Linked DNA regions of Alligator mississippiensis. The protein of the gene in region 3 interacts with the protein of the main gene of each other region in a pairwise test. Links are inferred from orthologs where the notes say so. Each region holds a gene or a part of one and is shown on either strand. Other genes may lie near its edges.

Evidence for each region.
Region 1: the proteins of CYTH1 (region 3) and IPCEF1 interact in binary tests that used the Homo sapiens proteins (3 or more experiments, as listed by UniProt). The link is inferred for Alligator mississippiensis from reciprocal best matches to the Homo sapiens genes CYTH1 and IPCEF1.
Region 2: the proteins of CYTH1 (region 3) and CYTIP interact in binary tests that used the Homo sapiens proteins (3 or more experiments, as listed by UniProt). The link is inferred for Alligator mississippiensis from reciprocal best matches to the Homo sapiens genes CYTH1 and CYTIP.
Region 4: the proteins of CYTH1 (region 3) and ITGB2 interact in a two-hybrid assay, tested with the Homo sapiens proteins (2 studies listed by BioGRID). The link is inferred for Alligator mississippiensis from reciprocal best matches to the Homo sapiens genes CYTH1 and ITGB2.

Annotation. Positions count from the first base shown.
Region 1 is NC_081824.1:133,246,755-133,254,558, forward strand, and holds the start of IPCEF1 (interactor protein for cytohesin exchange factors 1), read right to left. Parts: upstream 3,010-7,804; 5' UTR 2,734-3,009; intron 2,506-2,733; exon of another isoform or gene 2,402-2,505; intron 1-2,401. UniProt on the Homo sapiens protein: Enhances the promotion of guanine-nucleotide exchange by PSCD2 on ARF6 in a concentration-dependent manner.
Region 2 is NC_081827.1:222,880,317-222,887,648, forward strand, and holds the start of CYTIP (cytohesin-interacting protein), read left to right. Parts: upstream 1-4,316; 5' UTR 4,317-4,367; coding exon 4,368-4,535; intron 4,536-7,332. UniProt on the Homo sapiens protein: By its binding to cytohesin-1 (CYTH1), it modifies activation of ARFs by CYTH1 and its precise function may be to sequester CYTH1 in the cytoplasm.
Region 3 is NC_081831.1:723,232-730,966, forward strand, and holds the start of CYTH1 (cytohesin-1), read right to left. Parts: upstream 3,020-7,735; 5' UTR 2,946-3,019; coding exon 2,918-2,945; intron 1-2,917. UniProt on the Homo sapiens protein: Promotes guanine-nucleotide exchange on ARF1, ARF5 and ARF6. Promotes the activation of ARF factors through replacement of GDP with GTP.
Region 4 is NC_081827.1:188,078,291-188,085,149, reverse strand, and holds the start of ITGB2 (integrin beta-2), read right to left. Parts: upstream 3,009-6,859; 5' UTR 2,842-3,008; intron 1-2,841.

The DNA.
Region 1 (7,804 bases), on a different chromosome or scaffold from region 3:
CTGGTAACGTTCCTCCATTCCTTCCTTGGAAAAAGTTGTTTAAGAAGAGCTTGAAAAATTGAGAGATCTTTTTGTTTTTACTAATGAGGTGATAACTGCTGTGTAAGCCCCTGCTGGCTCCCTTGCTGACCAGCAAGAAGGGGTGGGGAACCCTCCTTAATCAGAGCATCCTGCCTCAGCTCAGTACTGTGGAATGAAAGGGAGGGCTGCTCTAGTGCCCCCCAGCTTCTAGCCGGAGCCACTGCAGGCATGTGCCTGCATTTTTTCAATCCAGAGGGGATGTCTGTGTGGTTACATGATTCAGCCTAGGCTGGTTAGACTAACCTGCAAAGATCGAATCAATTCAGGCTCAGGCTTTTTGAATGTCTGTCCCTAGCCCTCATGTCCAGAAACAGAGGCTTTCTTATAAAATTTTTCATCTGCTCAAATTTCTGGACCAAATTCATCTTAGATGCATTTGTACATCAAGCTCCTTTAGTCTGAAGGCTTTACCTGTCCTCAGAAAGAGTCTTTGTGTAATACATTCCTATTATCCTGCATGTTCACTCCCTTAGAGATTCTAAACAGGAAACTGAAAACAAAAGCTAGCGTTTCTCTAGCAGTTCTGAGGTCAGGGATTGAGAGGAAATCTGGGTTCTCCTGACAAAAAAGCTTACAGGGAACTTCCACAAGGTGGCAGCACCTAAGAACATTATGCTGCTGTTAAGTTAATCTTTTACATTGCTGTATTCATGGGAGTAAAAGGTCAGTAACGATGCTCTGCTGGAAGGCAGCAGCATGCTCCAGTTAAATGCAAATAGCTACATGCCAGTGTTGCTACACAAAACTGCTTACTTAATAAATGCACCCCGTGTATGCATAAATACACTGAGCACATATTGCATAGTAGTATATTTTTGAAGCAAATAGAATTTTTTCTAGACCTATCTTTGGATCATCTGCCTTAAGTATTCAAAAAGAGCAATTCTCTAGGATTTATCTGTAGCCTGACCCCATATAACAAATGTAAAGCATTACACAACATCACCTCTTCTAGCTGTGATGTGTTTAGCTATTAACTACTTTCTAAACCGTGAAGGATTTATAGCATACACATAAGTCCTGTTTTATTCAGTGTGTTATAGCAGGAATGACTACCATTAAAAATATTACTCATGATGTGACAGGTGGTTCAGTGACCCACCTGAGCCAAAGGAGAGATTGGGTGGACCTACTACTGTCAGGCAGAGTTCAAACTACAGAGAACTTTTATCAAGATGCTCCCTTGCCTGGTCTCTGCTCTGAATGCCAAAAGGGTCAGGATAACAGGTACTGCTATTAATACATAAAGGGAGTTAGAAAATAGCTTTTGTATATGTTCCCATCCACTGTGGGTGGCCAGACCTTGTTAGAAGCTGGTTAAGATGGAAGAGTGTTGAGTTATATAATGTTTTAAAAGTTATTATTGGTGTTACGCAAAATTATCAAGAGAGTAGTAGTTATAACCAGCTCTAAATTCCCTGAATAATATTCAAGTTAAGCATTTAATAATCTTTCCTAGTTCTACCCTACAATATACACAGGAGCTATGAATAAAATCAAACATGCCTAAATATATACTCATCTTAAGAGCCTGGAGAGGGGAGGGGAGGGGGGGAATGAAAAAAGTGTCACAAAAATCAAAGGTCCTGGCTAAATAAATATAAAGATCATATATCAGCATAATGTAAGCAATTGTAATCTACTACAGTGGCACTCAATCCTTTGCCCCCACCAGCCAGTTGAGAGGTGTCGGCCCAGTCTCTGGGCCAGATCAGACCCCATGTGCCAGGATTGGGCTCTGAGGGTGCCATCCCACCTCTGCCTGGTCCCACACGTTGGGATCAGGCTCTAGGAGCCCTGTGCCATCTCCATCCATTCCCATGTATGGGTATTGTGCTCCAGGGGCTCTGCACTGCCCCTGCCTGACCCTGCACACCAGGATCAGGTCCTGTACTACCCCACAGGCCCAATCTAGTGCGCAGAGTCACGGCCCATGGATGACATTGCACTGGAGGCTGGATAGGGACATGAGATGGGGGCTGAACACCACTAATCTAATACAAAGCTCCATCTCCTATAGATCTCAACTTCTGCAGTAGTGGAGTTGACAATCTAGGGAACTCATTTAGCCCCAAAACATAGCACAGCTAAGGTGTGGAATAGTGACATCAAACTACAAATCACAAACCTCTCTTATACAACTGCCCAATATCACAAATCAAACTAAGCATGCCCATCTGACAGAAAAAGAAACACAGGAGAACTATATTGTTAAGAAAAATACCAAGCAAAAAACCAGTAAATATCCAGGGAGAAAAAAGTATACAAGAATCTTAGAGATGCTAGAAATGTATTTTAAGAATTAACAGATTCTACCAACCTCTACAACAGCACTTTATAAAGTAGTGATCACTGTCACTGCCAAAAAAACAAAGGAAAGATACCAATGCAATTGCCCTTATGCAACAAAATGATGGTATGAAGTCAGCAGCACGTTACAGTCTCACTAAATAGAGAGCAATCCCACCCTATTCCCCCTTAGTAATACTTTATGGGTTCTTAACCTCAGGTGTTCTCCATAAAGTAGGAGCCTGACCAAGAAATTAGCTTTTTGTTTGCATTGGAGGTCAGTCAGAGACCTTTGCAGGATCAGAACTTAAGTGGTTGGCATTGACTTGACATATAGAATTTTGGCACTAAAAATTGAGGTACCTTTGTGATGAAGGACAGTCCAGTTGCTAGACTTCTATCTAAGTACCCAGGGATGCCGCTTTTCTTGCCTTCTCCATCACAGACTGCCTCTTGAAACACTGAACAAGCCACTTAGTTTCTCTTTGGCTAAATTTTCCCTAAGATGGGGATATTAACACTTCCCTGCATCATCTATAGATACCATGAAGATAACCTGTTACAGACAGCCAAACTGTTGAGAGGCTATAATTTGGAGGCCCACACAAGCACCTTAATCAGTTAGATAGCCATTCTACAGTCATATTCAGTCAATGGCAGAGTCTACTTCCTGACTAGCAGAGTAAGTGGGGAAATTTAAAGAGAAAAGGGCATGCTACAGAACTATGGTGTGTCACGTGTAAAGGTTTATCAGGTGTTCTTAACAGGTAACAACTTTAAGAAGGGCGAAGGCTCTGGAAGGAGCTGTGTCAGCAAGATGGGAAGCACCTGATGGGGCTTAACCAGGAGATAAGCCCAAGGCCAGAGCTGGGGTAGGCAGTCTCATCCTAGCTGCTGACATCCTGGCCCTGAGCAAGCAGCAGAGGGAGACTCTACTCTCCCAGGGGTTAACAGAAGGCAGCCTTAGAGCTGACATAGGGTCAGAGATATGCAGACACAGGGTGCTGCGATGCCCCTGAAGAGAGACACTTATTGAATGGGACACAGAGCATGATTAGCAACATCTGTGAGGCATGGGCATGGTGTAAGGGTCAATTGGAGTCATGTACTGCACTCAGTAGTGACACCTGAACAGTAGCATGGGATCAGGGATCTCTGGGGCAGTCTCCCTTTCCAAGGATGGAAACAACCTTGGAACAAGGCATGGCAGGTGAGGTGAAGGGGAGCAAGCCTGAGAAGCAAGAGCAGAGCAGGGGCCAAGCAGCCACCAGTGTTAGGGACAGACATTCAAAAAGCCAGAGCCTGAATTGATTCAATCTTCGCAGGTTAATCTAACCTGCCTAGACTGAACTGTTCTGCAAGTGAATAGATACTCAGGAAATACAGGCACATGCCTGCAGTGGCTTAAGCCAGAAGCTGGGGGCGGTGCTAGAGAGCACCCTCAGCTGCAGGGAAGCTGTGCTGGGGTGGGGGGAGGAAGAAGAGGGGGGACATGGACAACCCTGGCAGTAGCTTCAGGGGATCTGGCCAGGGAGGGGGTTTAATTCTCCACTCCTGCCCCATCAGCACAGACCCAAGCTGGGGTCCACCTGGCACTCCCCTCTCACTTTTGCAGTGGTGGAGGCAGGGGCAGGGCCAGACACTGGTCAGCATAGCCCTCTGAGGCAGAGGGAACAAGAAGGGGGTTTATTCCCTACCTCCACCCCCTTGGGACCACAGCCAGGGTCTGTCCACCCCGACTGCTGCTGATCACTCCCTGTGTGGGGCGAGCAGTAGAATAAGCCCCCTCCCTACCCCCTCCACCCGATGCCAGAGGGAGGGGAGAAATAATCCCCCTCCCTTCCCCCTCATCTAAGGGGGCCATGCCAGCTGGCCTCTAGCTGTACCCCAGCCCCTGCTGCTGGAGTGGCAATGGGGAGTGACCCTGGCAGGATAGCAGCCCCTCTCATGGTTTCCTGGGACATCAAGGCTCTTCCCAGCTGGGGCCTATGCTTCAGGCGGCGGCAGGTAGAGCAGGGCAGGCAGAGCTGCCACAGACTGGGTGGGGTAAGCACCGGCACCGGGGCTCAGAGGGGTGGCAATAGCCCCCCAAGGCCTCCCACACACTACTGCCACTTGCCCCATGCAGTCTGCAGCAGCTCTGACCGCCCTGCACCACAGCGTCCCCCACCAGGAAGAAGCTTTCACTCCCTGGGAAACCATAAAAGGGGTTCTTGCCCCCATCACAGTCCCTGCCCCTTTGCCACTCCAGCAGCAGGGGTGGCGGCATGGCCAGAGGCCGGCCAGCATGGCCCCTTCAGGCAAGAGTGCAGGGAGCGGGTTATTTACCCCCTCCCTCTGGCATCTCATAGAGAAGGCAGGGAGGGGGCTTATCCCACCATTTGCCGCATGCAGGCAGTTGGGGCAGGCAGACCCTGGCTGCAGTCCCCCAGGGACAGAGGGGCTGGAAGGGAAATAAAACCCCTTCCTGGTCCCTCTGCCTCAGGGGGCCAGGCTGGCCGGCATCTGGCCATGCCCCCACCTCTGCAGCAGCAAGTGGGGAGTGCCAGGTGGACCCTGGCCCAAGTCTATGCTGGTGGGACAGGGAGGGGGGAAATTAAATTCCTCTCCCTGCCAGTTCATTTGAGGCTACTGCTGGGGCTGGACACATCCCCACCACTGGAGCAGCAAATGGAAAAATGCCGGTCAGGGTCTGCTGAGCTCCTGCCTGTTAGACCCTGCTGGGGTCCATGATAGTAGGACAGGGGAGGGACAGAGGGAAAAACCTTTTCCCTGACCCCTTTGCCTTAGTGGGGCCAGCGTCTAGCCATGCCCCTGCCCCTGTCCACCGCTGTTCCAGCTAGGGAGCAGAGAGCACAGCCTCACACAGGGCTACAAAGCATGTCAGGATGCTGGGGGACTCTGGTTTAAGTTAAACCAGCTTGAGCTCAACCAGTTAAGTCTGATACGACATTCAACCAGGTTTATATTAAACCATTCTCAGCCATTTTGAAGGTGGTTTATGTGCACTGAACTTACGTTGTGTTACAAGTTTAAACCAGTTTCTGGTCACTTGAACCGGTTTATGTGTAACTTCTGTGCCTAGCCCAGGGGACATTGTGGTCACCCCTAGGAACAGTGCTTTGGTACAAAAGGCTAAACCCTTCCCCCACTACCCCACCTAAAATAGCTCATTAGCCTGAAGACTTCTACGATCAACTTCTCATAGAAGTTCCCATCCAGTGGCTATTCAAATAATACTTTGCCTCTCCATTCAGATCTCAGAGCTCATCAGGAGAAGATGACAGAATCCATGTGCAAAGAACTTATGTAAGGAAAAAGTAGGGTTTCTTGCCATGACCTTCCTTGTTGGGCAACACACCCATCTCCCCCCACTCCCCTTCCCCACCCCAAATCCAGGAATATTCCCATTTATTGTAAATTCCTCTGCCACAAAACCTCTTTGAACATGAATGGTGTTTTATCTATCTATTCAATACTACCACAGAGAAAAAACTTCTTCCACTTTCTAAAAGGATTTTATTTTACCTGCTGTCCTTTCTCCAATTTTACCCAGGAAATATTTGGATTTGTGAAGCAACTACTTGGTGGCAACTGCTATTGGTCCCCTCCCCCACTGGCCCATTTGAAACTCATTTGAAGACTCAAATGTGTCAATCAGTAACCAGGAGAAGCAGAAACAAGAACAGAGCTATGACATAGGCTAGGAATGGATGGGAGGACTGAGATAGCTAGACATAGCCTTACTAGCTTTACACTGTAAAAAGCCATGTATTACAAATACTCTGAGTTTTTACTGACCATTTAAAAACTTCTGACAGCAAATGGCCTCGGAGATTTTACAAATAATTAATCTTTGCCTGAACTGCTGAAATTTACCATGGAAAGTGAAGTTTCTTCATGCCCCTTTCCCACTGCAGTACCATTAAATATTTATATTATCACCTGAAGCCTTCAGCCAGGATCAGGGTCTCATTCTGCTGAATAAACAATAGAAGACATGATCTTGCCTCAAAGAACTGACAAAAGCAAGCTTGAAAGGGCAAGTGAGTGGATATTTGTTTTGTGTAACTTATGGCCCTGTAACGATGATGGGTGAATCCTGTCCATACATACCTGAACCAAGCCATTTTAGGCCTCTGCCAAAATGATGATTAACTGAACTCTAGAGTATTTAATAAAATTGATTATTTTTGCATGTATCATTAAAGACAGGACTCAGACTCAAAGTGGGGAGAGTTGTTTAAAGTTGTGTAAAGCCCCTGCTTATAATCTTGTATCTTTCAATTAGAGCCAAGAAAACTGGTTTTCAATTTCTTTTCTTCTGTGATCTGCCACAAATAGCAAACTCCCCCTCCTCCTCCTCCCCCGCTCCAGTCTTCCCAGTTGGTATTGTTTATGTGGACATACAACCATGGCAAATTCCAGAGCTATATTTTGTGGCTTTCTGACTCGAGGATCATTCTGAAGTAGTTCTCATTGGCTATTCTTCCAGCTAAATATTTACACACACATATACACTGAGCATAACTTTTACTTATGTGCATGGGCAAAAGCTCAGCATATTTCACATAATTTTTTAGAGGCTACATGTGTTTCACATCATGACAACATGTTGAAAATATGTGCCTACAAAACACATTTTAAATGTATTTATACAAAACACTGTGTGCTTATGCTGGAGGTGTTTGCTATATATAGAAAAACCAAAGATTAGATTTCCTGTTCTCATTCCTTTCCTTCACAATCCTGTCTCATTATTAATCATTTTCAGGCTCTTGTTATGGCTTATTTGTACATTAAATTTAAGTGAGATAATGTTTATGTTTAAAAAAGAGCATAAGGAAGCAAAAAAACAATTGATGTGGTAGTAGCCCCTGAGCAAGCAGCAGAGGGAGATGTTTCACCCAATTCACTTTTAAAATGTGACCTCCTGCTCCATATATAAGGACCTATCAATTAAAAGGCCATTTCTGATAGAACCTGAAAGCATAGCTGAAACAATTAGAGTGAAGAATGATTATTAAATGCATTTGTGGTGGGTTTAAAATCTTTTTTTTAAAACAAGTTGTTTCATAGTTGGTAGGGTCGGAAAGGACCTAAGCAGATCATCTAGTCCGACCCCCTGCCATGGGCAGGAAAGGATCCTGGGGTCAAATGACCCCAGCTAGGTAGCTGTCTAGCCTCCTTTTGAAGACCCCCAGGGTAGGAGCCATCACCACTTCCCTTGGAAGTTGGTTCCAGCTCCTAGTCACCCTGACTATGAAGTAGCGCCTCCTGATGTCTAGTCTGAGACTAGAAATGTGACTAGAAATAAATAATGTGACCTTCTCCTCACATACTGGAATAGTGTTATAACCTGATGCAGTCACAATTCAGTTCCTCAGCTTTTTAAAATTTGGTTGATTTGGCTGTTGCTTTTGCTTTATGAAAA
Region 2 (7,332 bases), on a different chromosome or scaffold from region 3:
TACAACCCCACCTGCAGCAGCAGCGGCAGGCCATCAGGGTGCTCACATTTTCACACAAAGCATTGTTTTCAACTGGCTATATGTGATAGTACACAATAATATTACACAGACTTTTATGTGAATGAGACTATGAAATTCCATGGGAATTGCAGGGGAAAAGGGCAGGGAAAATCTCTTAAACTATACCTTGATCAGGACACTAAAGCTTATTTTCCTTATTAGGAAAAATACTTGTAGGATGATGAATGACCATAGCAAAACATGACTCAGTTGAAAGAAGATACTCTTCTCATCTCCAGATAGTGCCCTGAAGCAAGATATGAAGCATTGTTTCACAACTTTGGCAGAAAAACAAATTTTCCCTCAATTTTCAATATTTTTTTTTCAAAATCTGGGTTTTACCTGGACTCTGTCTAGTCTAGGGTTTCGATCACATACCTTGAGTTAGCTAAAACAATTGTAAATTCAACCTTGGGGGGTGCAGAAATATTTGTTTCAAGACACACAAAAATTTGTGGTCTGTGGTTCAAGCAGTTGTAGAAATACCTTGGTATTCAGGAATAAGCAGCTTTAGAGAGCTATATTTTCATTTAGAACTGTAGTAGTTAACATGGCAGTATCTGTATTGCCTCCCTGCTGAGCCTGGGATTGCTGCTGAAAAGCAAATCCTGCTCACTTGTTTCCACTCACCTCACATCCAAGTCTGGCAATGAGAAGAGATGGTTCAGATAAGTTCTTAGTGCATATTAGTGCAAGAGCCTGAGACAGCTTCTGTGTTGTTTACTCTGGTTGCTTTCTAGGCTTGAACATAGGTGAAGTTGGGAGTAGGTAACCTTACTTTTTAGTAGGGGGCCATGTAAACATGACTTTAATTGTCCATAAGTTAACACATTTATTTAAAATAAAACTAAAGGGGCTCAAACACAAAATGGGAGACAAAAATAATGCAGCAGTGTGGCAAATTCAAAACAGGGTTATGGAAATATTTTCATACACAATGACCAGTTAGGCTGAGGATCTCATTACCACTGGGTATCATTGAAGCCAGGGACTTAGTGAGACTCAGTGAGGAGATGAATATTTCATTAATATACAAGAATGCTAAGAGTTACAAGAGTGCTAGAGAGAGATTTATATCAACTTCTAATGATTCAGGATTGCATAGAAGACAGACTGCACCACATCTCTCTACAGCATATTGTATTGTGCCTTCCTTTGAATCATTGGATACTGGCCATTTTCGGACCCATGATATAGGCTGCCAGTTGGGTCCTGAGTCTGATCCACTATGATGATTCCTGGTTACTAGGACACTAGCCTAGACAAGCCTATAGAAATTTGCCATGTAATGAGTAGTTTTAACCCCGCTTCACTCTTGAAATCTGATTAGGCTGTACAGGAAAGCATTAGCAGATCCAGGAACAGAATTTAGGTCTTTGAGTTGAGTGAAATATCTTAACCACAAATACATCCTTTGTCTCTTAATTTTAGTTTTCCAAGTATAGTCAGGTCAAAATCAATTTCTGCAGTTTTACTTGCTGAGTGGATTTTAAACTGAATGAAGTATTTCTACTCTTGAATAAACTAAGATCTAATTTGATCTGATCAGTCATCAACCTAAGCACTATTTTACTTATTTATGATATTTAAATCATTTAGTGTTTTATCTCCTTCAAAATATGCTAACACTTAAGAGTCCCATACATAAAGCAAGATCAGTGCTGTCTAAGATCAAATGTTAGGTCACAGTACAGAGAGCAACAACAACAAAAAAAAGACAGTCCCTGCCCCGCAAACTTTGCAATCAAAATAGACTTAGATCCTGTGCTGAGTGAATCGCATTAATTCAGACCAGTCTCTTCATTGATTTCTTGTTTGTCTGCTTCCCACTTAACTGATCAGTAAAAGGACTGATTTGTTAAATTACTAGAAATTTCTTTCATCTGAATTATAAATAGCCTGCTAGGAGGATAGGAAATGAAAATGGAATAAAATAAGTGAAGAGAAATATGAAATGGAATAACAGAAAATGATGGGGAGAAAAGCTAAAATGTCATATTCACAAGGATATCAAGTGAAAAATATAGAAAAATGAGAATATAAAGGAATCCAATAAGATAAGAAGCATACCACAGATACCTTAAAGGCGAGTATGTGACTTATCTATGTTCATGTATTGATATAGAAGATTGCAATGACAATTACTCCCATTCTATTTGCTTTTAGTTAGTACTTCCAGGTGCTTCTCTCAGTGCTTTTATTTATTCCTCAATCAGTCATCCTCTCTCTCAGATGTTGGACATCATGACATCAATATAACATACAATAGCACTTTGGTTTTAATGGAAAAAGTAACACTATTCATGTATTTAATATTGCCAAAGAGATTTGGTAAATTGGTGATTTTTGGTACTAGGGCTATTTCTAACTCCCTGGACCAGACTTTGGTTTTAGGATATGTCTTTTCTTCTCTCTTTTCCAGAGAAGCAGGTTTCCTCACCTGGGAACCTGCCATAGTAAAAATTTTGTCATGTGTCAAGAGCTGCTTTATTATGTGTTGAGTATATCAACTCATTGATCTATCACATGTTGATCAACTTAGATGGGTCCTAATCTGACTCCCCATTCAATACTTCTGACAGAATGAAGAACTTTTCCTCTAAAATATAGGGACCTTCTTGTCTTCTATGCACCTACTCTGAAGAACAGTGGCAACAGCCTTGCGACAGAGGAATTGTACAAGAGGATTATACCACGACTTGCAGTCCACTAGGTTTTATACTATTATTGTAAAATACTTTGACATTACTCTGGAAACCACTGGGAATTTTACTTGAGAAAAATATTAGAATAAGGAAATGACCTATACACCAACATTAGGATTGGTAAGCAGTTAATTTCCTCACTCTAATTGTATTCTATCATTACATTAATGTTATTCTTATTGTCATTTTAAAATCAAGCAAGAAAATATATTTACTTCATTACTACCTAATTGTTGGTAGTTTCCTTGTTTGAAGAATCAACCTATGTACCTCTGTGTAAAAACTGTAGGTAGAAGATGTGATTGCTCTTTGTGTTCTGGTGCCTGTGGCCTCATATATGTCAATTCACAGTGGTACAGGAAACTACAGCTAGGCAAATGACGCTTCTCTTTGTGAAGCAAATACAGGAAACAGCAGAGCAAAGTAACAGGGGAGGAAATGGGTTTACCGTAGCAGAAATGTGATTAAGATCAGCTAAGCAGGAAAAATGAATTGTGTTAGCCATGCAAAACTCTAAAACTCTTGGTTCAGAGATGATACCTTTTATTAGACCAACTAAGAAATGACAAAAATGTATCTTTCTTTGCAAGCTTTCAGGAGCACACACCCTTCTTCAGGATGAGGAAAAATTAGAGATGGCAAAAGTCCCCATAGGTAGAAAATACACTTCATTTTGCACATAGGATGCTGAAGGCGGATGCCTGTTCCTCTGGGTCATTGTGTTAGCCATTACATTTTACTTGACTTGTCTTTTTGAAGAAGACATTCTACTTCTGACAGTCCAAATGGGTTTCTTACTGAGTTTGATCCTCTGTTGTGTTCTTGTTCTTTTTATGGTGTGTCACACTCCAGAAATCTAATACTAAACAGAACCAGGTGTCTTTTTAAAAATTAACATATCGCAGCAGCTTCCTTCACAATGCTTCACTTAATCTCAGTTCTCTTTCTGAGGGGGTTATGTCCATGATTCTCAACCAGGATGCCTTAGGTTTCTTTGAGATCCTTACACATGAGAATGGAATTTGATAGATTTTTTGATTGCATATTAGCAACAAAATGCAAATTCCCCTTTATAAATATTTACTATAAAAATATTGCAGGGTGTAAATAGAGCACTTTTACAACATATCCTTTTATATTGGTGTCTAATCCTTGTTTATGTCCCTAATCATGCACTCAAGTAATAACTTGATAAAATCATGGCTTTCCACATTTTATGCCAAAGATAATTGAGAAATGTGAGAGAACACTGAGAATGGAAGTTTAGGAAAGTTTTGTTTTTCAAAACAGATGCTGACTTACAGAACCATTACAGAATATAAAATCTGCCTGATGAGAGATCCATTTGCTTCCAGGAGTGGAAAAATAAGCAGATTTCTCTAATTGCAAAACCCAACTCTTAGCTCTTCCACAAGCTTAAAAACATTGAGTAACACTGGTGAACTGCAAGAAGAGATTTCTGTACATGCACCTAAACCACAAGTCACGTGGCCCTCTTTCCATTCTGATACTTTTTGACTGCTGGTAGAGGAGGCTACAGTTTTAGTTTCTTCAGTCATACCATGTTATTTGACAGTGCTACTCAAATGATCAGCACCCATCATGTCCTTTAGAAGGCTCATTCAGCAAAACCGTAATGCCAATTTTGCAGGCTTCTGCGTTAGTCCTTATACTCCTTACTTGGAAACTATGTGCAGCCCGCAGATGGATAATAAGCAATTTCAGAACCTGGCAAATGCAGTGGGGACCTTACCCAGAGGACGCAGGCAGGTAAGTTTTTTGCTTTTACTATTGCAGGAAGTTTCCTTTTGAGAGTACAGCTAATTGTTTTTCTGTATTTGCAATTGTAAATGTAATCGGCAAGGTTATTAGCAAGTAATTTAAAAGGTTTGTTGTGGAATGTAGCTTGCCAGATTCAACTATAGGTTGATTTTCACAGTCAGTGGAATTACAGCAAGGATAAATTTGGCCTGCTTTGTTTTGAATAGTAATTAATTCTTTCAAAAAAATCTAAATCTAGCCAATTTCCTGCAGTAAGCGTACACAGGATGAATTCAAACTCTAAAGCACCTTGAAACATATAAAGAGCTTTTGAAACCAGAGTAGTGGCTGTGGTTTTTTTTTTTTTTGTTCTCAGTTTACAGGTATGCTGAGAATCAAAAGAAGCTGTTGATTTCAGGGCTTATGGGATTTCTCATGTCCTTTAAGTTTAATTTATTTTACTTCAATGTATGCCATGTTCAGGCTTTTTGTTTCCCCATAGGCTTGCTTTCAGATATGACTGATACCAGCAATATGTAGATGTGCCCACCTGGGTCGATCTCTGTTGTAAAAGTGATGAAAGTGTTTCTGGGTTGGATATTTCTCAATACAAAATTATTTGTTTTTCTTGTTTTCCCCCTATTATGTTAACAACATGACAGATTTCTGTCTTTTGCAATTGGCTGCTAACAAAATCCTGTTTCCATTTTTACTGTTCCTGTGAATTGACAAATGAGCACTTACAGGATATTATCTAGTGATCTGGTGTAAATCAATCAAAATTCAAAGTATTTGAAATGTATTATAAATGCAAATTATCAACAAAGAATTGTTATGTATTGACTGGGCACTTAAGCCTTCACTTTGTGCATCAATAGATGTGCTCTTAATTCTTCTTTTTTGTACAACCTGAGAAAAGATAAAGCAAGGCCAGAACTGGATAGATTAATGTTTCCATGGAATGTTCTTACTGATTTTTGTTCAGCTAGTACTGTTTGTGATAAAGAAACAATTTCTTTTGTCTCTGTATGGCAATCAGTCCTGATTGAGAGAGAACATTTATGATAGTGGCTATGACACAGCCATGTGTGTGAAAAATAAATTTCAACATGTACATCAGGCATGGGAACTACCCTTCACAACAAACTTGCACAACTGATGGGTACTTTGCAGAAGTCGTTTAGCTTAGAGTTACGTACATATGGACTTCTGTTAACTGACCTGCTGCTTATTATTACGTGCATCTAACCTCCCCCACCCCGGATAAATACATGTTAATGAGTTGGTTCTTTTACAGGGACACATTTTGAAGAAGTCTGTGTCTCATGGCTAATTATAAGGACTTGAAGTCCACAAGCCTGTTAGTGATATAGGACAATGGTTCCTTATTTGATATTTACATTTTCAAGAAGCAGCAGCTTCAGTATGATATTAGCTTTTTTTATAATCTTTTGTGATTTCTTAAGGATGTTTATGTTTGTATGCAACATCAAGGTCCAGTCTATTGGTTTCATGAATGTTTGGGTATGCTGTTGGAAACTACCTTGCATGAAGACACCATCGTTATTCCAGTTAAGGTCAGGTAGTGCCACACAGGCACTCCTGCACAGGGTTAAGTCAATCTAATTACACTCAATGCTTTGTAGATCTTCTTACAGAAATGCTGGAATTAGCATTAGGAATCCAGTTTTTTCTACACTTTAGTAACAGTCCCACAAATACCAGTGTGTGGACACAATGCTTCTCATGTTTTGAGTCTTGGATTAACCCTAATCCTCCCATTTAAACCGATGAAGTGTGACTTGAGGGGAGCAGAGTTCACTTAAAGATGTGAAGGATCTTTGGATCCTGCCTTGGTGATCTCTTTTTTTGATGTAGCATATAATTCTCATTAGTATTAGCGGAGATGGGGAGGGCTCTGTGGTAAGGTGATGCTTCAGATATGTTTGGGCTATCTATGGATAAAGACCAGCACAAAGGGAGAATAAAAGCAGATGTCTGAAAGTTAAAAGGGTTTCAGTTCTGCTGCTGGTTCAATTATGTACTTCCTGTGTAACCTTGGGCAACCTAATTTGTTTGTGCCTAAGCTTTCCCACTTGTAAAACAGAGCTAATTTTGTTTGCGTGTGCCACAAATATTGTTAATAAACAGTTTTGAGATTTTTCTGAGATATGGTATGCTAAAAATGTAAGGTATTACCGTTGTTAAAGCCCACTGTTAGCACAATGGAATAATGTTAGTATACATGCAAGTATTTGCTGTTCACCCTACTCCTTTGTAAGGCATTTTAAAAGGCTCCCAAGTATATGGAAAAATAGAGTGATTTGTAAACAAGTATATTTCCTAACACCACTCAAATGATTTCTTTGAGATTTGCTTGCAACCTCCTATAAATAAGATGGCATGGCTGGGGTTCGTGGATGCTGGCTATACATAGGCATACGCTGTGCCTAAATGAAGAGCATGGGTGCTCAAACTAGCACATCTCACACTTTGATTAGGTTCTGCAATTTCCATAGCATACTGTACTGTTATAATAGCAGCAGTATCAAAGAACATGAAAGGCTGTTGCTACTTGAGGTTCTGCAGAACTACTACTACTCAGCTTTCTTGAGATCTGTGCAAACTAAGATTATAGAATCAAACAAATTGCAAAGCTCTATAGAGCTGCTTGTCCCCACCACCATACCAGCATAGGATTTCTCTTTATGAATTGCTACCTATTGCAGTTTTCAGTTCCAATGTCTCAAGACATTAAGCAATGTCTTAAGTGTCAGCATTTCACTGTGGGGGAATGAATTCTATA
Region 3 (7,735 bases):
AGCACCTCGGCCCGGCCTGCAGGCAGCTCCACCCTTACGAGTCGCCAGGACGGCTTGGCCCCGAGCGCCCCAGGGCACCCTCAGCAGTGCCAGGGCTGGCAGCTTCGCCCCACAAGCAGGACTGTCTAGGGAGGAGCCTCCTCACTGGTATTTGGCACCATGGGGAGAGCCAGGCTGCAGCCAGGACTCCTCCAGCATCAGACCTGCCCGGCTCCCAGCTAGCTCTGGCAGGTAGGCATGAGACTGCTGGCTAACACAGGCAACATCTCCCAGCACGCGTGGCCCTATCGCAGTCCCCCCAGGGGAAAGGCAGCGAGCAGCACCCTGGGCACCACCGGCTTCCTGACTGCTGAAACACCTCGGGTGCATCTACACACACGCTTTAATGCACATCAGCCTATTTTAATGTGTATTAATGCATCCTAAACTATGCGTTCTGCTTAACGTGCATTAAGATAGGCTAAGGCAGATTAAGCATCACTTTAAAAGCATGCTCTTTAGTTAATGTGCATTAAAACATCATTCTCCCGTTGTACTCGGCCTTGGTGAGGCCGCAGCTGGAGTACTGCGTCCAGTTTTGGGCTCCCCAATTCAAAAAGGATGTGGAGAAGCTTGAGAGAGTCCAGAGAAGAGCCACGCGCATGATCAGAGGTCAGGGAAGCAGACCCTACGACGATGGGCTGAGAGCCCTGGGGCTCAGGGGTGATCTGGTGGCCACCTATAAGTTTATCAGGGGTGTTCACCAGGATCTGGGGGAATGCCCGTTCACCAGAGCGCTCCAAGGGATGGCGAGATCGAATGGTCACAAACTCCTCCGTGACCATTTCAGGCTGGACATAAGGAAGATCTTCTTTACTGTCCGAGCCCCCAAGGTCTGGAATAGCCTGCCACCGGAGGTGGTTCAAGCGCCCACTTTGAACGCCTTCAAGAGACATTTGGATGCTTATCTTGCTGGGATCCTATGACCCCAGCTGACTTCCTGCCCCTGGGGCACGGGCTGGACTCGATGATCTTCTGAGGTCCCTTCCAGCCCAAATGTCTATGAATCTATGTCTATGAAGACAGGCTAATGCACATTTTCCTAGTAACTCATAAATTATGGAGGGACTAGATTGAATGTGCATTAACGCACATGTAGATGTGCCCTGGACTCAGCAGCAGAGTGGAGGACACTGCCCAGATGCAGCCCAAGCCCAAGGGGAGCCAGGCCACCAGGTCACCCCCAACACCCCACAGGAGAAACACCCAGGCTAGGGAACAAGCTGGCAGGAAGGGAGGGGATTGCTGGAGACAGGCAGCCCCAAAGCCCCAGAGCTGGGCAGCCTGGAGGTCTTCTCCCACCCCTGGGGCATGGGGCAGACCAGCGAGGGGCCTGCTGCCACAGCAGAGAGTCAGCAGCAGCACAGCCGTGATGAGACACAGGAGCAGGAGCTGTGCCACCCCCTCCTCTTGCAGCAACTGATGCACCAAGAGTGACCCTGGGCTCGTGACAGGGACGTCAGCACTGGGAAAGGGGAAGGGAAACCGCAGACGGGGTGGTTTTCCCTGGTGAGGAGCAATAGGACCTTTAACCCCTTCCTGGGAGCCTCCCCGCTGGCACAACCTCCCTGCAGCGATGCCTGCTCGTGGGCACCGACACCCTGCGGTGCCTGCACCCCCAGAGACGCCACACCAGAAGCCTGAGACCATTCCAGTCTCGCACCAAAGCAGACACAGGGCATGGCTGTAGCAGCTGCACTGCATTGCCAGGGCATCCCCCGGCGCTGTCCTGCCCCCCACAACGCACCCAGGGCAAAGCCCAGTTATGCCCCCCCGATCAAATGCCTGGGGCTGAGCAGGATGCTTACCCCAGTCTGCGACAGTGGCGACCAGACGGGGACCCAGGAGTCCTAGCTGCCCCCAGGCAAGAAGCCTGGCCACACAGCTCTGCTCCCAGCAGCCCTCGAGGCCTCAGGGAAGTCCCGGTGCTGCTCTGGGACAGGTGGGGATTTCACTGTCGTGAAATCCCGTGGTCGAGGGGTGGGCCTCCCACCCCTGCTCCACACCAAGCCCTGGCTGCAGGGCGCTCAGCAGGCTCCGGCTGGGAGGAGGAGGGTGGACCGGGCATGGGGGCAGCGCTGAGGGGCAGGAGGGCACTTCACAGGTCTGGCACCAGAGCACCTGTGTGGGGCCTGGCTGTGCAGCCCACGTGCCAGAGCCCCCAAGTCGTGCCCGGCTGCACGCTCCCCAAAGCCAGGGAGAGCAGCCTGCTTCTCCCCAGGCCCAAGCAGCAGAGGCTGAGCCAGGTGGGCAAGTGAGCCCAGACCTGCACCCAGGGGTGCCCGTGGACCAGGGAGAAGGGGGCAGGACAGCCCCGGGCTCCGAGGACACGGGTCTAGCTCCACGCGGCTGCCACGACTGCCTTCTGATGAGCGCACTGAGGCTTGCAGCCATCTCGCCCCGCGCAGACACACCCCGCCGGGGCAGGAGCCAGGCAGGAACAGGCCCCAGGGTGGGCGAAGGGGTTGGGCATGCACAAACCCTGCCAGTGGCTTGGGGGGGGAAGCACTGACCGGGCCCTGGGGCTTCCCCGTCCCTGACTGGGAGCCCAGGGACAAGCAGCAGCATGCAGGCGTGCCAGCCTGGACCCAGACACATGCCCGGGCAGGGATGCAGGCACCTCGGTGTTGTACTAGGGATCAGTGCCCAGCTCCGGCGCCTGCTGGCAGGGCACAAGCAGAAGCCCTGGGAGACGGGGACCCCCAGAGCCCCCAGCATCGCAGGGCACACTGAAGCTGCTGGGGGGGGGGGGGGGGGGAGCTGTGAGCTTCTTGGGATGGCAGTGCCAGCTCCAACAAGCACAAACCCGAAGCCGCTCCTGCCCCAGGCCCACCCCGGCTGCCCCGCCATGCTGCCCTCTGCCCCAGGCCCAGCTCACCGCTTCCCTGCTCCATGCTAAGCACCATCCTGGCCGGCGCTCCCAGGGCGTCCCAGGTGTGGGGGGACGGAAGTGGGGCCCCCGCGGTTCCAGCCGCTTCCTGGAGTGACTCACGGCCGCTGAGCCAATGAGCCACCCGTCGGGATGGGCGTCATCCTGGCTTCCCCGAGCTCCTGGCCAACACCCTGTTCCTGCCCCGACAGGGCCCGGAGCTCATGCACCATTAACCCCTCTGCTCCCACCCCCACCCAGCCGGCTCCCCGGCAGCCCCAGGACACGCGCCCCCACGGAGCCAGGAATGGCTCCAGCCCCAGGGGCAGTGCAGGGTGGGCTTGGAGGGAAGAGGGAACACCTGGGAGAGCTGGGCGGCTGGGCAGGGACCCCGTGCTCTGGCCACGGCCTCTGCCCTGCCCCCCACCTCCCTGCAGGCCTGGCCAAGCCTGGGGGATCCCCCAGCCTAGCACCCTGGCCTGACTCCAGGGGGACGGTCCTGAGCCCAGGGGCTGGGGAAGTGGAGGGGGCTGGTTTCATCACGTCAGAGCCAGGTGGGAAGCCCAGTCTGAGCCTGGCTGGAAGGAGCTAGTGAAACACGCTCCAGAGATCCCGGGTGGTGGCCGTGCCCCATGGCAGAGGCAGGTGCAGCCCACGCCGCAGGTGGGCATGCGAGGGGGACAAGCGCCAACCGGCGGGGCCCCCCAGCCCCAAGCCCAGGCACGAGGCAGTTAACCGGCGCTAGCCCTGGGCCCAGGCCGCTGGCCCCGCCTGCTCTTCCTTCCTCCCTGCAACACAGCACTTTGCTGGCACAGGGGCCCCGCTGCGGCACATGGCAGCCCAGGCACAGCCCTGCCCCGAGTCCCCATTGCCGGCACCAACCACACACCTGCCCTGTGGCTCGCCAGCCCTGTCCCTGCCCCTGTCCCGGGTGGTTCTCCATCCCCAGGGCCAGCTGAGCCATCGATCCCACGATCGACCTGCAGGCGCCGGCTGTGCCCTCCTGCCCACAGGCACCAAGGGGCATGGCGCAGGCCGGGTCCCATGCCCAGACACAGGCCGTCTCTGCTCCCTCTCAGGGCCCAGGCCCCTCCTGGAGCACAAGGACAGCTATTTGATGCCTCGACCAGGCTCCCCCCCTGCACCATGGCTCCAAGTGCTGCCAAGCGCCCAGCCCAGGGTCTCTCGGGCTCATGGACCCCCAGGCCTCTGGCTGCTGGCAGAGGCAGCGCATCACAGGCCTGGGGTCCCCGGGCACCAGCCCAGAGCCCCAGCCCACTGCCCCCTCTCACCCTTGCTCCACGTCAGCAACTAGGCTCAGGGCAGCCTGGCAGGGAGGGTGAGCCGCAGCTCTGGGGCAGCACAGATGTGTGGGAGCTACGGGAGGGTCTGGCTCTCCCTGGCAGGTGGTAAAAGCCAAAGGCTCAACCTGGCTTGTGACAACCCCGAGCCAGGATGGCATCCCTGCCCCTGCTAGACACACAGGGCCCCCCGGACACTTCCCCCAGCTCAAGCAATGCCTGCTGTTGAGGCTGGAGAAGCAGAGGCTTCAGAGAAGGGCTAAGGGGACCAGGGCTGGAGCAAGCCTACCAGGGCTTCATGGCATGCTCCCCCCTTCCTGGTACCATTAATGACCTCTACTCTCCTGGAAAACAAAGACCCTCTCAAGGAAGCAGTGGGGACAACCCTGTCCTGGCTGGCAGGCAGCCCCCACCCTGCAGCTAGAGGCCACCAAACTCTTATCCTCACACACTGCATAGCATGCGTCTGGCTTTGCACAACAGGGCTGGTGCATGGGCCCTGCTGCAAGGCGCAGGGGCTGGGGACCCTTGAGCATCTGCAGGCATGAGGGCAGGGAAGGGCCCTGGCCATGCACGGTACCAGGCAGTGCCGCAGTCCCCAGCCCCAACAGCTGGGCCCAGCACCTGCTCAGAGGCATGCACCGCTCCTGACTTCTTCTGGCCCCACCTCGGCACTATGGGGACCAGACACCACATCCTGTTTTCACTGCACCGCTTGCACACCCCAGGCTTGCGTCAGCACCGTCCTTCCCGCCGGCAGCCCCACGGGGCCAGCACATGCCTGCCATGGGGCAACTTCCAGGACAGCCAGGCTCTGCCCAGGCCCCATGCCGCCAGGCTGCTCAGCCCTATCCCCACCAGAGCCGTCTCCAAGACACATTCGGGCACAGCTCCTGGGCCCTCGCAAGCCAGAAGCCCCTTCTGCCTGGCTGCTGGGCTGGAACAGCAGCCCTGGAGCATGCAGCCCTGCCAGCCTGGGTGCTAGAGCCCCTCGGCACCGTGCGCCAAGTGTGGGACGTGCCCAGCCGACCGCCCCCACAGCGCCACACTGCACCTACCTGCCTTGGCTGTCACCGAGGGGCAGAGGAAGGCCTGGAAGCTTGAGGCACAGAGCTCACTGACTGTCCCCATGCCGCAGGCCCCGGCGTGGCGACCCCGGCACCTCCGGAGCCAGTTGGGAGCCGCACGGGAGGCCCCGGCGGTGCCCAGGACGGGGATGGGGAGCTGTCTCCCCACCCTGGCAGCGGGAGGGAGACAGGGACGCAGACAGAGTCTCCCCAATCTGGCTGGAGCAGAAGGAGCGAAGCGCCGGCAGCTGGAAGCTCCCCGCTGGAGGAGCCCACGCACGCGCCCAGCCAATCCCGGCTCCCTGCCGGGCGCTTGCCAGGGCCCCGATCCACCCGGCTGGGAGCCTCCAGGCAGCAGCCCCTCCAGGCCCCGCGTCCTGCCCTGCCGGCCCGTGCACCCCGGGGCGGAGGGGCGGGGGGGTGCTTGCAGCCGGGTATTTTTAGATCCGGCTTATCCTTCAGTACCGGCGCTTCCAGCATCCAGGGAGCCGACAGTTGCATAGCAACCGCGCTGCAGAAAAGGAAGGTGCAGAAACGACACCGCCGAGGGAGGGAGGGAGGGAGGGAGGGAAGTGGGGCTGGGGGGCCAGCGCACCCTCGCCGGCTCCGCCAGCCTCAGGGGAGGGGGCACGAGCAGCCCCCAGGGACCTGGCATGCCCGGGGCAGGGTCTGCTGGGCACAGCCCGGCTCTGCAGCTTTACAGGGGGATGCTGTGCGGGTCCTCGCCCAGCCTGCTGCTCCCCAGGGAAGCAGGGGGGTGCCTTGGGGCATGCCCCATCTGCCCTGGGGATGCTCAGCATGGCTGGAGGGCCTGGGGCTCTGGCTGGAGAGCCAGGCGGGTGCCCAGGCACGGACCTGGGCTGCACCCCTGCCCACCCAGGCTCCCCCTACCCCTAGGTGCAGACGACATCTCCCTCCCAAAATGGGTCCTCGCTGAGCTGAGTCCTGGCCCCAGAGCTGGACGTGGCCTGTGCCCCAGAGCCGAGGCAGGGGCCACTCACCTGGTCACCGACTGCCTGCTGCAGCCGCTGGAGCACACGAGACACAAACCCCAGCATGCCAGGCAGGAGCATGGCCAGGAGCACCAGCTGCAGGCGCCCCCGGGCACGGGCCTTGACCCAGGACTGGCCGGAGGGCTGCAGGGCACTGTCCAACCGCTGCAACTGGCCAGCAGATTGCTTTTTCTGGGCTGCTGCCGCCGGCTCGCAGGCTGAAGGGAAGGCTGAGCATGTCATGCTGAGCTCCGGCATGTGGGCAACGAGCTGCCTCCTGGCTCGGGGCCCTGTCTGCCCTCCCCACACCCTCGGGCCTGCAGAGCTTGAGAGGGTAAAGCACAGAGCTCCAGGGACCCTGATGCCAGCCCCACACCCCATCCACTCTGCCCTGGCCAGCCGAGGACCCCAGCAACGCCAACGGGTTGGCAGGAATAGCAGCTCCCAGACGGGGACAGCCCCAGCCCTCCCTCGGCAATGGGTGGATGCTCACATGACCCTGCTCCTGGGAGTGACGATGCCAGCTGGAATAGGCAGAGAGCGGGCTTCCCCGCTGCCCCCGCACCTAGCTAAACCCCGCAGGAGCAAGGTCCGGGGCTCCATGCTGCTCCGTTGCAGCCAATGCACCCCCTGCATCCCTGTGCTGCCCGTTACACACTCTCATCCCTCCTGCAGCCAAGGCCTGGGGGACGCAGAGCTGGCCAGGGCCTCAGAGCATCTGCTGGGCCACCCCTGCCACGGCAGCAGGAGAGAGGGTGTCTGGTGCCTGGAGAAGAGGAGGAGAAGATGGCAAGCTGCCCCCTGCCTGGGAACAGCTGGGAGCACCTGCCAGGCTCAAACTGCCCCTGGGCTGAGGGTCTTGGGCCTCCAAGCTGCAGGAGGGCACCAAGGAGGGACATGAGCTCCACACAGCCCTGTCCCGGCAGCACAAGGAGCAGGCAGCGTTGGAGGTGGCAGGTGTGCTACCTGCGGGGCACCCTCAGGTGCAGGAAGCTGCGGGCACGGGGCCGGGAGTCCCAGCACCGCCAAAGCGTGCAGGCCTGCACTTGAGCACTTGCCTGCCTTGCTGGAACCAGCTGAAGAGGGACACCCGGGCAGGCTGTGCTTCAGCCTGGTCATCGTGCACGACCAGGTCCTGGCATCAAGTCCCTTGTATGGCCTCAGCCTCAGCGTGGGGTCACCCAGGCCCGGGAAGCTGGGGGCCTCCTGGCACGGCTGCAGCCCCTGCGGGTGCTGCTGGAGCAGGGCTCATGGCCGCCAGCTGCACAGCAGCAGGGGGAGACCCCAGGGCCTGCAGCCCCCTCCCCTGCCCAGGGGAAGCAGGGCCAGACCTGCCTGCTCTGCCTGGGCTTCCCCGTGCCTGCAGCACCAGGCCCTCCCCTCTTCCCGAGACCCTAATCCCCGCTGTAATCCTGCAGGATCAGGGCTGCCTGCGCTCTGCTCTGTGGCACCAACCCCCACCCGGCA
Region 4 (6,859 bases), on a different chromosome or scaffold from region 3:
AATGTCTACGAAATCTATGAAATCTATGTTTGCGTGTTGTTATGGAACACTATCCAGTCTTGTTAAGCAAAATCCATGATTAGCTGGATGAGATATAACATGGTTGACAGTTTGCCAAGTTCTGACATCAGTTTTCCTTTCCCTGTTATACATTACGCAAATTATTTTTATGTTGCTACCAAAAGAGTGTTACCAAGAGGGTGTTAAGTGCCATGTACACAGCAGAGCTGAACCCATGGAGAGCTGCTATATAAGGCTCCAGCCTTGGTTTTATGTATCGATAGATACACATGCATATAAAACATACATATACAATATACTATAATGTACACATATTATATACATAAATACACGCATATATAAAAATATATACACACACACATATTTGTGCATATATAATGTTTACCCCTAGAGATCATACTTCAAATTTTAAGTGGCCCTCTAATAATACAAATGGAGAATTTAAGGAATTCCACACTACAAAGGAGGGGCAGTTACTATGCACTCCTTATACTTTCTGTGTTGCAGTAGTGGCTAAGACCTGCTAGGGACTGTATAGACATATGGGGGCTGTATTGATAGCAGCACACCGCCTATGATAAAGACCATTTTTGGTCCATTTTTTCCAAAACTCAGATCTCATCTTTAGCTGCATGACTTGTCTTTCTACAGAAAAGGTTTCTGTAGAAAGACAAGATATAATCTTTCTCCCCATATTCAGGAAGGTTTCTTTTACAGCTTTCTTTTCATTTGCATATAATATGTAGATTTCCTAAATTACAGTGTCTCTTAACCTTTTTAAACTCCAGGTACCCCTCACTAAATGCCAGCTCTGTTTTAACTTTTTGACTATAGAAAAATAATAGAGCAATTCTTCTACTGCAAAGAACTCAGGAAGAGCACAATGGATCAGAAGGCTTTTTAACACTACAAATTCCTATTTGAAAAACTCTGGATTTATCTTGTGGATCATGTTTTTGCACACCTAACAGTGCTAACATTGTGTGGGACCTCATGGCATCTGTAAAAGAACTCAAGGTACCCCAGGATGCCACATCACCTGGGTTGAGAAACACTTCTTTGGTCACTGCTGAGGTTCCATATATCACTGAGTAGGTTATTGCTGTGTATTCTCTCTCTTCCCTTACTGGGATTTACAATGTGCAAGTAATAAGTGCTCTTATTTTCTCATTCATGGAAGGATTACAGATTCAATTTCTGATAGCAATATAAAAATAAAGTTGTCCGATGTGTAACATAGCAAGGAAAACTGGTGTCATTTCTCCTTCTGAGTAATTGTGCAATACTGAACATTCATATTAACCCTTTAATGAAAGAGCACAGTAGCTTTGTCTGTTAGGTACATATGTGGTCTCCTAAATTCGGTCTCAGACCTTAGGCTGCTTTACAAACAGATTAAACCTCATTGCTCCTCCCCCAGAATGCATCTGACAGAAAAAAACCCCACCACAATACCAGAGGGCTCCTCCTGGGTCTGAGGTCAGTCCTGTGCCACTGAAGACAAGAGTCATAGAAACCCTTTTACAAAAATGCATTATATATAACAATAGTAAATTGTATGTAAAAATGGAGCTGAAACAAATGTGACATGCAAAGAGCAAAAACAAGTGATTTTATGACTAAGGCAGGATATGACATCCATGGCAAAACCCATAACCTTCAGGCTTTTTTCAGTCTTATGTTTCTGCCTTCTGACTTGTGAATGAATGCATTTCCCCATGACTGTACACACATTTTGCTCTGTATCTGCCTCAAAAGTGGAAGGTGGGCTTACAAAGGGTCTGACGGTTGGTTTGTTTTTAATTGGATTCAACTATTAATTTAATATTATTCATGTGATCAAACCATTCTGACTGCCAAATAAAGCAAGTCCTACTTTAATGCTAACCCCTGTATAACTTTCTGACAACTTAAATGTTAATCCTCAGCTGCACTGTGGTTCACTATTGGCCCTGTTGGCTCTTAATATCAGCATTATGGGTTTCTCAGCAATGTGAGGGCAAGTGGAGGGGGGAAGATGCTCAATATTTATTCCTGGAAACATTAGACAGTATTAAGCCAGATTACCCTGTACCAAGAAAAAAATAATTTATAAGTGTGCTCAGGGAAACTAAAAGCATATAGTCCAGACAGGAAGCTAATTTCCTTGTTTAGCTTCTAGGTATAGCAATAGTAAAGTCTGTACCGAAATAAGATCAGACCCTCAACTATTACAGATTGTTGCTACACAGCAAGGAGCACAGAGCACTGCAAATGATCTTCTTCTGCATCTGGTCAACCTTCTCATAAATCCAACCCAGTCTTTTGATATGATCAATAGCCGCTGAATTTCCCCATCCTTACATATATTGTATTCTGTTTCATCTGTGTGGAAGGGTACAATTCTCCACTGCCATGTTCCTTGGGCATCCATTTAAATTGCCGCAGCGTGCACAAAGAGATCAGATTAATGTGGTAGCATTTAAAATGCATATTATACTCATTTGTCTTAGAGCAGTGCAATGATGTGCTGGGTCCTAAGTTTCTGTACATTACACATCAACAATCCCATGCTTGTTTCCACCTTCAGAAGCAACTCAGTTAAAAAAATTTGAGTGCCCATCTTCTATAAAAGGCTACTCTAACCCACTAGGCAATTAAAGATAGAATGGAAGAGAAATTTGCAAACAGAATGTTCTCAAGTTCCTGGAGCAGAATTCAGGACACTGCTGGTCATTTCTGAAAGGAGCAGAGCAAAACTCAAGCAATGTAATAATAGGCACTTATGAGGACATTAAGTCAATAAGCAGCAAAGCCACAGACAGAGCAGATGTTGCTCACCCCTCCACAGGAACAGAATCACCATGCATCTACTGCTCTGGCTGGCTTTCCCACAGCTGTTCTCAGGCAGTGGTGAAGCTGTGCCTCAGCTGACTGTGAAGTTCCTCCAGTGTAGCTGTGAAAAACAATCAGTCACTGGGATTCTTGCAGCATACTACTGCTTTCTTCTTCCTATTTCTGTTATATAGTCACCCTGTGTGAGACAAGGAGGAAGTCAAGAAAATGCGATGTGAGTGTGTACATTTCCTTAAAAAGGAAGAAAAACCAACCCCCCCGCAAAAAAAACAAAACAAACAGATCTCTAATAGCAAAGACTGCGCTCTTACCATATGGTAACCCCTCTGGTAGCCTCAGTGGAGGGAACAATGGAGCCTCAGTCTCTTGAAGAGTCTGGGGTGTGTTTTTATCCTTTCATCATGGCAGAACTCATTCCCCTTGGCTCATAAATAATATGCAATCCCTTCAGAATGCATAATAGTAGGAAAGTGTTCTTTCTTCAGTATCTCTTGTTACAGACATGTGCCAAATGAAGCAGTACAGGGGGTGGTGAATCTGTCACTGGCTCCATAATCAAGGTGAGCTCCAGTCAAGTGTGATAATTTATATTACATATCTACTCTTGACTCTGTACTGGCTCTTGATGACTTCCAAGGGATGGTGCAAGCATTGGGATTCATTCACATCTGTAGCCCTGACTAATTTAGGTCCTGGGCTTTGAAGAGCCTCCTCTTGTGAAAGCTGAAGGTACCCAAGGCACTTGAGTTACAATTCCCCTCCTGCTAGCATAAGAGAAGGCTGAGAATAGGAACTTCTCAGGACAAATTTGAATATACTGCAGCACCCATGCACAGGTCATGTAGGTAACTCACAGCTTCCCAGTCCTGGGGCAATCAGGACCTCCAGGACCTGGAGTAGATTGGAGCAGCTTGGGGGCTTCCCAAACTTGTATTACAGCTCCACAGGTTTCTAAGACCTTGAATCATCCAGAACAGCCTGGACCACACCTCACCTCATTGCTAGGATGTCCCCAAAATGTACCTACTATAACTCCTGCTGTGCAGCTCCAGCTTCAATGATTGCAGTAAGGCCCTTGCATTAAGTGCATTGCCAGGAGGCCTTGTATTGCCAGGAGGCCTCAGCAGCTTAGCTGGTGTTACAGATCATGCTAGCCATCACACCTGGTGAAGGATCCTTGGTTACATTCCCCCACCCTGATCAACAATGCTCAGACATGGCAACCTACAGGGCATGCTGCAAAGTGGATGTTTTTGCTGGCTTTCCTTGTGGAGGGTGCAGTAGGAATGAGGTAGGAAACAAAGCACTGGGTGCTCAAGAGAGGGGCAGAGAGCTGTGTTGGGAGGGTGGGGACCAGGCCTGGGTGCTCTGAGCTCTATTTAAATACTTCTGTTTTAAAGGAATTTAAAGGGCTGGCCTAACACTGCAGAAGGGGTGGAGTTCTCAGTTCAAGTTCACTACAGCCCCTCCCTTTCCAGAGCAGCGTGTGGTAAAGCTAGTCGTGTAAACAGGGACAGAAAGGCGCTTGTGGCAGGGCAGAAAGGAAGGAACTGTCCACAGAGTGGGCTGAGATGCAAAAGAAGCTTCTTGGGATTCTGCCAGGTGAAGAACCAGGAGGTAAGCCTGGATCCCTCTTCCACCAAAAAGGATGAAGCAAGAATGGCCTGAGGGGCCTGCGTGAAAGAGAGAAGGCTTCTATGCTTTCTGGAAGGAGGAAGAAGATTACCACAAGCACTAGCTTGCAGTAAAATATTGCTAAGTCACCATGAGACAGGATCACACCCTGACCCTCCACTGCAGCCTGCCTGCAACCATCTTGAAACCAAAGAACACCCTTCAGAACGGAAAATAATAATTCTCTGAAATGAGATAAACGTGGAAAATGGCACTTTGATGCTGAATACATAGCACTGTTGTGCTCACAATGATGTGGGTGCATTGAAACATCAGACAATATTTGGCCCATGGGAGAATCTCAAAGGCAGATAGTGATACTCCTTGTCTTCCATTTCCCCGCAGCCAAATCATCCTTGATTACTTAATATCACACATCATTTCTGGTATAGACAAAGTCCTTCTGCTGCTCGGTGCTGAAATTATCCCTCAGCGAATTAGTGATTTCCATTCATTGTCTTAGGAAATTGTAAGTTCGGTATCAAATTGCCAAGGCAATCAATTACAGGCCCTTAATTTCCCCAGAACCATGTCAGCCAGCACACATGCAATCTGCTTTAGCATGCTAGTGCTGAAAATTTGCCAATAGTACTGGGTCATTATCTTTTATTTCCAATACACACAAATACACACACGTGCTCACATGTGTGTACATGTATATATAAGCATGTCTACACGTCACCTTATGGTGACGTAGTGACACACTGCATCACCATAATGGCAAAATTTAACCATGTGCTGCATGTGCAGTGCAGTAATCACCTGTACTGCACCGTGCTTTAATACTTACAAAAGAAGTACTGTAGGAATGTTGCCATATGGCGATATGTAGACATGCCCTATATGTATATACTAGCCAATTGACTGTCAAGACTGATGGAGCAGGGGAGGGGGGAAACAGAGCGCCACCGCCGCCTCCCAGGAATGGGGAGAGGGGGGAGCTTGCCCCGCTGTCCCCCTCCACTAGCACTGCTGACTCCAGCAGTGCTGGCCTCACCCCCCTAGTCCTGCTCCTCAGAGGCAGCAGAGTGCCGCCATGATGAGTGCTCCGAGAGCATTACAGACAGACAGACAGATGGACGATGTCCTTTGTTATATAAGAATATCTATATGTATACATACACGTGTATATATGTGTGTTCGCGTGCGCGTGCGCACACACGCACACACACGCACACACGCACAGGGTTTAGTCTCCTACATGGGGAGACAAACCCCTCTGGATCCACCCATGCCCACCTTCGTGTCATCCTGGTTGTGCTGCTGGTTCAACCTCCCACAACCTCCATCATCTACTACAATGAATAACTCAAGCAAGGGTCACTGCAGGAACTTACCTCTTTGCCTCACCTTGCAGCTTCCTCCTGCTTCTGACCCCTGTACCATTGCACACCTGGGCCTGCCTTCAGCCCTGTTCCTCTTCTTTTTGGCTCTGATACATTGTAGGTTCAAATCCCCTAGGAACAGAGCCATTCAGTACAGGTTCCTCAATAGTGGCACACTTTTACTGGACATATGGGGGGCGGGGAACAAAAACATTACCAGGAGTAGATAACTGACAAGATAATTGTAGAAGAAAGGATAGCTTGGTTAATGAAAGAACAAGGCTTGTTAGCACCTATGGAGTGTAAAGATTAGCAGCAATCAAGCAGATAATAATGAACCATAAGGTCAGTTGACTCCCTCAGCTCCACCTGAATAGAAATGTGGCTAGTCCTGCCAAACAGTTTGTTTTAAACACCAAGTGGGGCAGGAATAAAAGGTGCATATGATGATGACTATATACCTACCCCTGCCCAAGAGCCACTTCTGACTAGTCTTGAATTTCAATGTTCCCCAGACTTCAGTTTGATACTGAGATGACTCTGCTGATATTCAAGGCAAGCACTTTGATATCAGGGACTAACCAGCATTAGTAAAAGTTGTTGTTTGTTAACTTGGAGATGCTGTGGTCAAAACAAAGATACACGATTGGTCAAAACCTGTTTATAGAAACTACCTTTAGCCCCTTTTTGAAAACAGCTGGGATATTAAAAAAGCACCTTTGAACTTCCTTTTTAGGGGAGATCTCTTACATGAAGTAATTATTAAGACCCTGCCCTCCAAAGAGGAAATATGCCTTCTGTATTGAAGTGTTGTCTTTGTCTTTTTCTAATAAAGTAAGTGACTGAACTTCAGATATATATTTAATTCGTAGTAGTCATAGTCAGGTTTGCTGAGGTTAATCCAGATTTGACATTATCCAGAGAGGGAAAGGACAATATAGGATCTATTCCTGCTAATGATACATGGTTGGTGAATATTAGCATACAGCGCTCAGATGTTTTGT